Callithrix jacchus: one gene and its partner. The protein of the gene in region 1 interacts with the protein of each later gene in a biochemical or structural test. Links are inferred from orthologs where the notes say so. Each region holds a gene or a part of one and is shown on either strand. Other genes may lie near its edges.

Evidence for each region.
Region 2: the proteins of PTPN11 (region 1) and PECAM1 form a complex in vitro, tested with the Homo sapiens proteins (4 studies listed by BioGRID, with this or other methods). The link is inferred for Callithrix jacchus from reciprocal best matches to the Homo sapiens genes PTPN11 and PECAM1.

Annotation. Positions count from the first base shown.
Region 1 is NC_133510.1:115,442,999-115,446,808, reverse strand, and holds part of PTPN11 (tyrosine-protein phosphatase non-receptor type 11), read right to left. Parts: intron 363-3,810; coding exon 196-362; intron 1-195. UniProt on the Homo sapiens protein: Acts downstream of various receptor and cytoplasmic protein tyrosine kinases to participate in the signal transduction from the cell surface to the nucleus. Positively regulates MAPK signal transduction pathway. Dephosphorylates GAB1, ARHGAP35 and EGFR.
Region 2 is NC_133506.1:89,659,357-89,663,842, reverse strand, and holds the start of PECAM1 (platelet endothelial cell adhesion molecule), read left to right. Parts: upstream 1-1,568; 5' UTR 1,569-2,064; intron 2,065-4,486. UniProt on the Homo sapiens protein: Cell adhesion molecule which is required for leukocyte transendothelial migration (TEM) under most inflammatory conditions.

The DNA of each region.
Region 1 (3,810 bases):
GGCAGTGCTGTGGGATCTAGAAGAAATACACCTTGGGATCTAAATGTCCCTCAGTGCAGGTGCTCTATGCCTCAAACAGGTATTAAATTCTTCCTACAGTTAAAGAGCTGGGGGGTGGTGGGTAGGTAAAAGCAAGCCCTTGGTGCTAGGAGACAGGGACAGGCTGTGGCATAGAGGGGCGGCAGGGGCTGTCACCTGCAGTGCACCACGACTGGCCCTGCATCCATGATGCTCTCCTGCTTATGGTGCACCTCCTCCAGGAAGTCCAGCACACCCCCAGGGTCGCTGGGCACTCCGTGGTCCGGCCAGGTCCGAAAGTGGTATTGCCAGACCGTTCTCTCCGTATTCCCCTGGAGTAGAGCCAAGAAAAACCAGAAAAGAATTAAATAAATCAAGAGGTCGAGGAATCATCCAGTTCTTAGCTTTCCTAAATCCACTGTGAGCCAATGAAGAAGAGAATCTCCCCATGTTCCACTGAAAGGTCCTCTTCATGAGGTTCCCAGAACTTGTCTCAATTTGGGCAATCCTGGAGGCAACCTTTGCCTCTGTCGTAAGAACCAAGGTGTCTGGCATGGCAATTCATTCTTTCAGGTAACTACACCCTGAATCATCTCTCTGAATCATCAGTGACAGGTAACATCCCTGTTCCTCTGTATCCCTGTGGTGTTCAGCTCTGGAGGTAACTGAGACCTCTAGGGACCCAGGTCTCTCCTCCCAGCAGGGGAGAAAGCAGATGAGGAAACAGCCATTCGCTTAAGACATTCATTCCTCTTGGTCATCTTTTCATACCCAACCTTCCCCACCATATAAACACACACTTTTTTTTTTTTTCCAAGACAGTCTTGCTCTATCGCTCAGGCTGGAGTGCAGTGGTGCCATCTTGGCTCACTGCAACCTCCACCTCCTGGGTTCAAGCGATTCTCCTGCCTCAGCCTCCCAAGTAACTGGAATTACAGGCATGTGCCACCACACCCAGCTAATTTTTGTATTTTTAGTAGAGATGGGGTTTTGCCATGTTGGCAAGGCTGATCTCGAACTCCTGACCTCAGGTGATCTGCCTGCCTCAGCCTCCCAAAGTGCTGAGCCACCAAGCCTAGCCAGTATTGTTCTATATTAAACTTGTATTTAATGCAAAGAAGATAAGAAAACAGGCTTTGCCATCAGATGACTAGATTTAGGCTCCAATTCCAGGCACTCACAGTCATGTGGCCCTTGGATATGTCTAAACCTCAATTTCTTCCCTTGTGAAGTAGGAATAATAATCTCTCTCTCTCTCAAAATGCAATTGTAAGGACTCAATGAGCTTGCTGCAACAGTCAGCCTCTGCCCAGCAAACACTAGGAGACTCAGCACATTGCAGCTATTTTGAGGATAAAAATAATTAATAAAGATAAACAATAGCACCAAGGCTACAGAAGACCGAAAAGTATCATGTTTCTGGGTTTAACCAGATTACATAACTGTAGCAGCACAATTCATTGCTATATCTTCTTCCTGTATGTGTGGAGACAATCTAAGCTAAGTAACTTTTTTTTTTGAGACAAAGTCTCACTCTGTCATCCAGGCTGGTGTGCAGTGGCCTTAGCTCACTGTAACCTCCACTTCCTGGGTTCAAGAGATTCTTGTGCCTCAGACTCCAAAGTAGCTGGGATTACAGGCGTGTGCTACTACATCCAGCTAATTTTTCTATTTTCAGTAGAGACAGGGTTTTGCCATGTTGGCCAGGCTGGTCTTGTACTCCTGACCTCAAGTGATCTGCCAGCCTTGGCCTCTCAAAGTGCAGGGATTACAGGCATGAGCCACTTTGCCCAGCCTTAAGTGTCATTTTTAAAAGGGATTTAATAGGACACTTTTTACTTTTTTCTTTCTTCCTCTTCTTCTTCTTCTTTTTTTTTTTTTTTTTTTTTGAGATGGAGTTTCACTCTTGTTACCCAAGCTGGAGTGCAATGGCGCAATCTCGGCTCACTGCAACCTCCGCCTCCTGGGTTCAGGCAATTCTCCTGGCTCAGCCTCCTGAGTAGCTGGGATTACAGGCATGCGCCACCATGCCCAGCTAATTTTTTTTTTTGTATTTTTAGTAGAGACGAGGTTTCACCATGTTGACCAGGATGGTCTCGATCTGTTGACCTCGTGATCCACTGCCTCGGCCTCCCAAAGTGCTGGGATTACAGGCTTGAGCCACCACGCCCAGCCCTCTTCTTTTTTATAAGAGACAGAATCTCACTCTGTTGCCAAGGCTGGGGTGCAGTGGCACAATCGCAGCTCACTGCAACCCTGAACTCCTGAGCTAACGTGATCCTCTTGGCTCAGCCTCCCAAAGTGCTGGGATCACAGGCATAACCCACGGCGTTCAGTCCCCCATTTCTACTTGACAGCTACATTGTTCCAGTTCCTCTCACAATCTCTACCATAGCTTCAGCCTCTGCCCCTCCCCATCATCAGTAGGACTGCACCCTCTCTGACATCAGAAATCCAAACATCCCACCCTGGGCCACAACTACACTGGCTCCCAGCTCCTTCTAGTCTCTCTGTCACTTCCGGTAGCCTCCAGATCACTGAGCCCTCCCTCCACTTTCCACCTGTCTCCTCCTGCCCCTGTCCCCCTCATCCAGCCAGGAGTCCCCATGCTGTGGGGACAGTCACTTTCTACCGTGTGCCTCCACTTCCTGACCTCTCCATCCACTGCACCTATGCAAATCCCAGGCCTGGGCGAACCACATACTCTCTGTTTTGTGCCCTAGGAGCCAAGTGTCCTTGGAGAAAAACCAGGTGGTGGATATCAGTATATTTTCATGTTCACCACCTCAGCTGGGCACTTGGCACAGCACAAAAATTTCTGGACTTCTTGCTCTGCTACACAATTATGATTTCATTCTTTTCTCCCTTTCTTCAAATATTCAAATATCTCTTCTTATTCCCTTTGACTGTCTGTTGATGGCCTTGCCTCAAGCTTCGGAGAGGATAGGGAAAATAATCGCTCTTAGCTCACCTACTGGCATCTGTGGCCACCTTCTCCTCTTGCCCTTCATTGCCACAGGAAAAAATGTGCCTCCATCAAGCAAAAACTCCATCCACAACGCGTCCCACCTCTCCTCCTCATCCCACCTCCACCCTTGCCTCCCTGACAGCTCCATTTCAATGTGTCCAAGGCATCTCAAACTTAGTGTGTCCACAAAGAGGTCCCTGCTGATCCTTCCAGCTTCCTCAAGTCCACTGCCCTTCACCCTGCCTTCTCAGGCTAGAAAACCACCAGTCATCCTGCATGCCAGCCTCGCCCTTGGTACACTCCATCATTAAATCCCTGCCAGGCTAACTGCCTCCAGTTAGCTCTACTGGGTCCTCTTCTTTCTGGCACCCCTGCCACTGGCCTAGTTCAAGCCCTATCATCTTTCACTCTGACAACTGCAGTACCTCCTAATCAGTCCTATCCCTAGACCCACTTTTCCTCGCTCCAGTCTCTACAGGGTGGAGGGGAATCTCTTAAAAGCTTAAATCCAACTATGGCTGCTTACTATACTTAGGATAACCTCCCCCAACCTCCTTTGCCAACTCAAATACATTGTTTCCTATGCCTTAAGAACCTCCCTTCCAGCTGGGCGCACTGGGCGCAGTGGTTCATGCCTGTAATCCCAGCACTTTGGGAGGCCGAGGCAGGCAGATCACAAGGTCAGGAGTTCGAGACCAGCATGACCAACATGGTGAAACCCCATCCTTACTAAATATACAAAAATAAGCTAGGCATGGTGACACACGCCTGTAATCCCAGCTACTCAGGATGCTGAGGCAGGATAATCACTGGAACTCGGGAGG
Region 2 (4,486 bases), on another chromosome or scaffold:
AATGCTTTGGGCTTCCTTGACAAAATGCTCGTCCTTCGTTACCTGGGGCCAGTCCTGGAATTACTTAACTAAATTAAATATTATGAATTAAGGTGCCTAGCACCGAGACTGGTGCCTAAACGGTAACTGGAAAATAGTCTCCCATGAACCCAGAGTGACCTTTGCTCCACACCCAGTTGGGCCTAAGCCTGGAGATCTAGAGATATCCATGAAGGATGGCTCCTGCTTTAAGAACTTAATTCTTCAGTGATTAATGTTTCTAGAGCACTAGCCACAGGCAGGCATTTTCTTTTTTTTTTTTTTTTCTGAGACGGAGTTTTGCTTTTGTTGCCCAGGCTGGAGTGCAATGGCACGATCTCGGCTCACCGCAACCTTTGCCTGCTGGGTTCAAGCGATTTTCCTGCCTCAGTCTCTCAAGCAGCTGGGATTACAGGCATGCATCACCATGCCCAGCTAATTTTTTATTTTTAGTAGAGATGGGGTTTCTCCATGTTGGTCAGGCTGGTCTCAAACTCCGGAACTCAGGTGATGTGCCCAGGCAAGCATTTTCTAGATGCTTTACATTTGTTAATGTCCAATCCTCATGGACATAGTGTGAAGCAGATTCTATCATTCTCTATATCTTGCCTATGAGAAATCAAGGCTCAGAGAGGTTAAACAGTCCCCTGAGGTCACACAACTAGTCTGGGCCTAGAAGAGACTTTTCTCCTACTATTACTCTGTGTTGCTTCACAATATGGTGTACGTTCTGTGGGAGCCCAGAAAGCAAGGCATCTGAGCTACTGGGAAAAAGGGATGAGACAAGTCCCCTGAGGAGTTAGCTGACCAAGGAAGCAGGGAACAGCACTTCAAGCAGAGGGAACAGTACATGCAAAGGTTATAGGCAAGAGACCGTGACCTGCATAAGGAGAGGCTGGGCTAGGCGTGGTGGCTCACGCCTGTAATCCCAGCACTTTGAGAGGCTGAGGCAAGCAGATCACAAGATCAGGAGTTCGAGACCAGCCTGACCAACATGGTAAAACCCTGTCTCTACTAAAAATACAAAAATTAGCCAGGTGGTGTGTGCCTGTAATCCCAACTACTCAGGAGGCTGAGGCAGGAGAATCGCTTGAACCCAGAAGGTGGAGGCTGCAGTGAGCCGAAATCGTGTCACTGCACTCCAACCTCAGTGACAGAGCAAAACTCCATCTCAAAAAAAAAAAAAAATCAAGCAATGCATTAAAAGTATGGAGATGAAATAAGCATTATTAACATTAGGTGACCACATTCTCAACATTCTATGCAAAACAAACAAACAAAAGTGGCTGATGAGCCTTGGGATAAGTGACATTCCAGAGCATTTCAAAAAAAACTGCTTTCTTTGGAAAAAATAGTGTGATTTTGGCAAGAGAAAGAATCTCAAAAGAGAGCTCTGGGGCCTTCAAGGGGCAATTGTTAACGAGGTGAATTGCGTCTGGTGCATCTCTCTCCCTCACAAGGCCTGTTTGTTCTGTGCTAAAAGGGCTAGCAGCACCCGTGCTGTGGGGTGGAGGGCAGAATATAAGAGAATGGAATGGAATACTGTAGCTGGCAGGCGCTGAGAGCTTCACAGCCCTGGGCCCCCGCTGCATCCGCTCAGGCACCCACGCTTTACTGACACCTTGAAAAGGAGCTGGGAATTTGTTTTCAATTTGGCAGAGCCCCTTCCTCTACCTGCAGTCTTCCTCTACCTGCGGTTCTGGAGACTCAGCCTGGAGAGGTGCCAGGCCGCTAACCGACTGCGGCGTTGGGGATGTGTTTTCAGGGCCCGGGGAAGGGGGAAGTCCTATTGCCGCTCCCTCCGGGCCCCCTTCCTGGTGATTTATCGCTATGGAAACCGAGCTCCTTTCCTCTTCGCGCTGCCGGCTGCTGGGAGTGCACATTGTTGATGCTGTTGCCGTTCAGATCAGAAGTTCCTTCCTCTTTCCTGCTGCAGAAATGCCACAGTAACCTACGTGGCCCAAGAACTGCCGCTCACACCTGAAGAGCCCAGGCTTGGGAAAAACAATCTCATCGGATTCCCCAGGGGTCATGGGGGCCTTCTGGGTAAGCAAAGCCGGCCTCAGAACAATGTCGGGGAGAACAATGCGGCGGTGGCTGAGCTGGTGGCCCTGCAGTTCCTCTCCCTTCAGCTTCCCTAGCTGCGGGTTAAACATGGGTTTACAGGCCGGGTGCAGTGGCTGATGCCTGTAATCCCAGAACTTTGGGGGCTGAGCCTGGTGGATCACCTGAGGTCGGGAGTTCCAGAACAGCCTTACCAACATGGAGAAACCCCGCCTATTAAAAATACAAAAATTAGCTGGGCTTGGTGGTGCATGCCTGTAGCCCCAGCTACTCTGGAGGCTGAGGCAAGAGAATAGCTTAAACCCGGGAGTCGGAGGTTGCGGTGAGCCAAGATCGTGCCATGGCACTGCAGCCTGGGTGACAAAAGTGAAACTCCATCTCAAAAAAAAAAAAGGTTTTACAGGCAATCACAGGTAGCATTGCATTAGGCAGCAGAAAACGGAAACTCAGAGTCCCTTAGTGTGAACAAAGTCTCCTGTGACAGCCCACTTGCTGCAGGTGCTCACCCATTGCGCATGCCCACCCATGACATATACCCATCCACTGCATATGCCCACCCATTTAATATGCCTGCCCATTACACATGCCTGTCCTCTGCATATACCCACTCACTGCAGATGCCCACCCATAGATATGTTCACTCACTTATCTACTCACTGCATATACCCACTCACTGCATATGCTCTCCCATCACATATGCTCATTCACTGCTCAAGCCTGGTGAGGCTCTACTGGACTTTTGAGAGCTGGCTCTACTGGACTTGGTCTGGCCCTCAGTAACCATTCCTTAGAGGCCAGTGCCTGGATTAGAGCACCCTGAGCATAGCATCACATATACCTGAGCCAGGGCCTAGACTCAAGGACATAGGGCAAGGGGGGATTCCAGGGACAACAAAGGAAGCTCTCTGGCCAGGAAGTCCTGAGACTCTGCCAGGCCCAGCAGCCCCCTTGCTGGCCACACAGATAAGATACGGCTAATCTCAGGGCCTCAGGGTCATTCTCTGTATGTTGACCTAAGGAATTCTTCTGTAGGTCTCATCTTATGGGGGATGGAAGAGAGGAAGCTAAGAGCACCTCCTACTTGCCCATCTGTCTCTTAGAGGGGTTCATCTAAGAGTAGTTTTCTGGGGAAACTGGCCTTAAAATGACCTGGGAGAATAACATTTCATTTAGGAACTGAGGCTTGTCAATGCATCTCATAATAATGTACAGAAATTCCCTTTACCTCCCTGAATATCCAAGATCTTTTTTTTTTAAATAGAAATGGGGTTTCTCCATGTTGGTCAGGCTGGTCTCGAACTCCCAACCTCAGGTGATCTGCCCACCTCGGCCTCCCAAAGTGCTGGGATTACAGGCTTGAGATACGGTGCCCGGCCCCAAGATCTTTTCTAGGTGCAAAATGTTCCTGTTTGTTTTCCATTTAGAATTTCCCCTTATTTGGAGTATGTTTCCTCCCTCTTATCCTCAGAAAATTTCCAAGTTCCTTCCACATTCTAAATAACATGGAAACGTTCTTTAGAATTAGAGCAATGTGAAAGTCTATGGTTTTGTTTTTGCGGGTTTTTTTTTTTTGAGACTGAGTCTTGCTCTATCACTCAGGCTGGAGTGCAGTGGCACGATCTTGGCTCACTGCAATCTCCATCTCCCGCATTCAAGCAATGCTCCTGCCTCAGCCTCCTGAGTAGCTGGGACCACTGGCGTGTGCCATCACGCCCAGCTAATTTTTGTATTTTTAGTAGAGCCAGGGTTTCACCATGTTGGCCAGGCTGGTCTCAAACTCCTGACCTCAAGTGATCCGCCTGCCTCAGCCTCCCAAAGTGGTGGGATTACAGGTGTGAGCCATAGCACCCAGCCCCAATTTTAAAATATAAATATTTTTATTGAGATAATAGTAAATTTGCATGCATTTATAGTAAATAATACAGAGATATGTACCAATTTCCCAATGGTAACATTTTGCAAAACTACAGTATACCATCACAACCAAATTTTCTGGCTTTTGTTTATTCATTTGTTTTGTTTTTGAGACCAGGTCTCACTCTGTCACTCTGGACGGGGTGCTATGGCCCAATCATGGCTCACTGTAGCCTCCACCTCTGGCTCAAGCAATCCTCCCACCTCAGCCTCCCAAGTAGCTGGGACCACAGGCATGTACCCCATGCCTGGCTAATTTAAAAAAATGTTACGTAGAGATGGGGTCTCACTATGTGTCCCAGGAGGGTCTTGAACTCCTCGGCTCAACTGATCCTCCCGCCTCAGCCTCCCAAAAGTGCTGGGATTACAGGCATAAGCCATAGCACTGACTGCAACTGGTCCATTTTTAAAAAGCCCTAATTAAAGCACGTCCTTGACATTTGGGAGGTATCCATCCGCAGGCCCAGATGTGTGCTCACTTTCTCAGTAG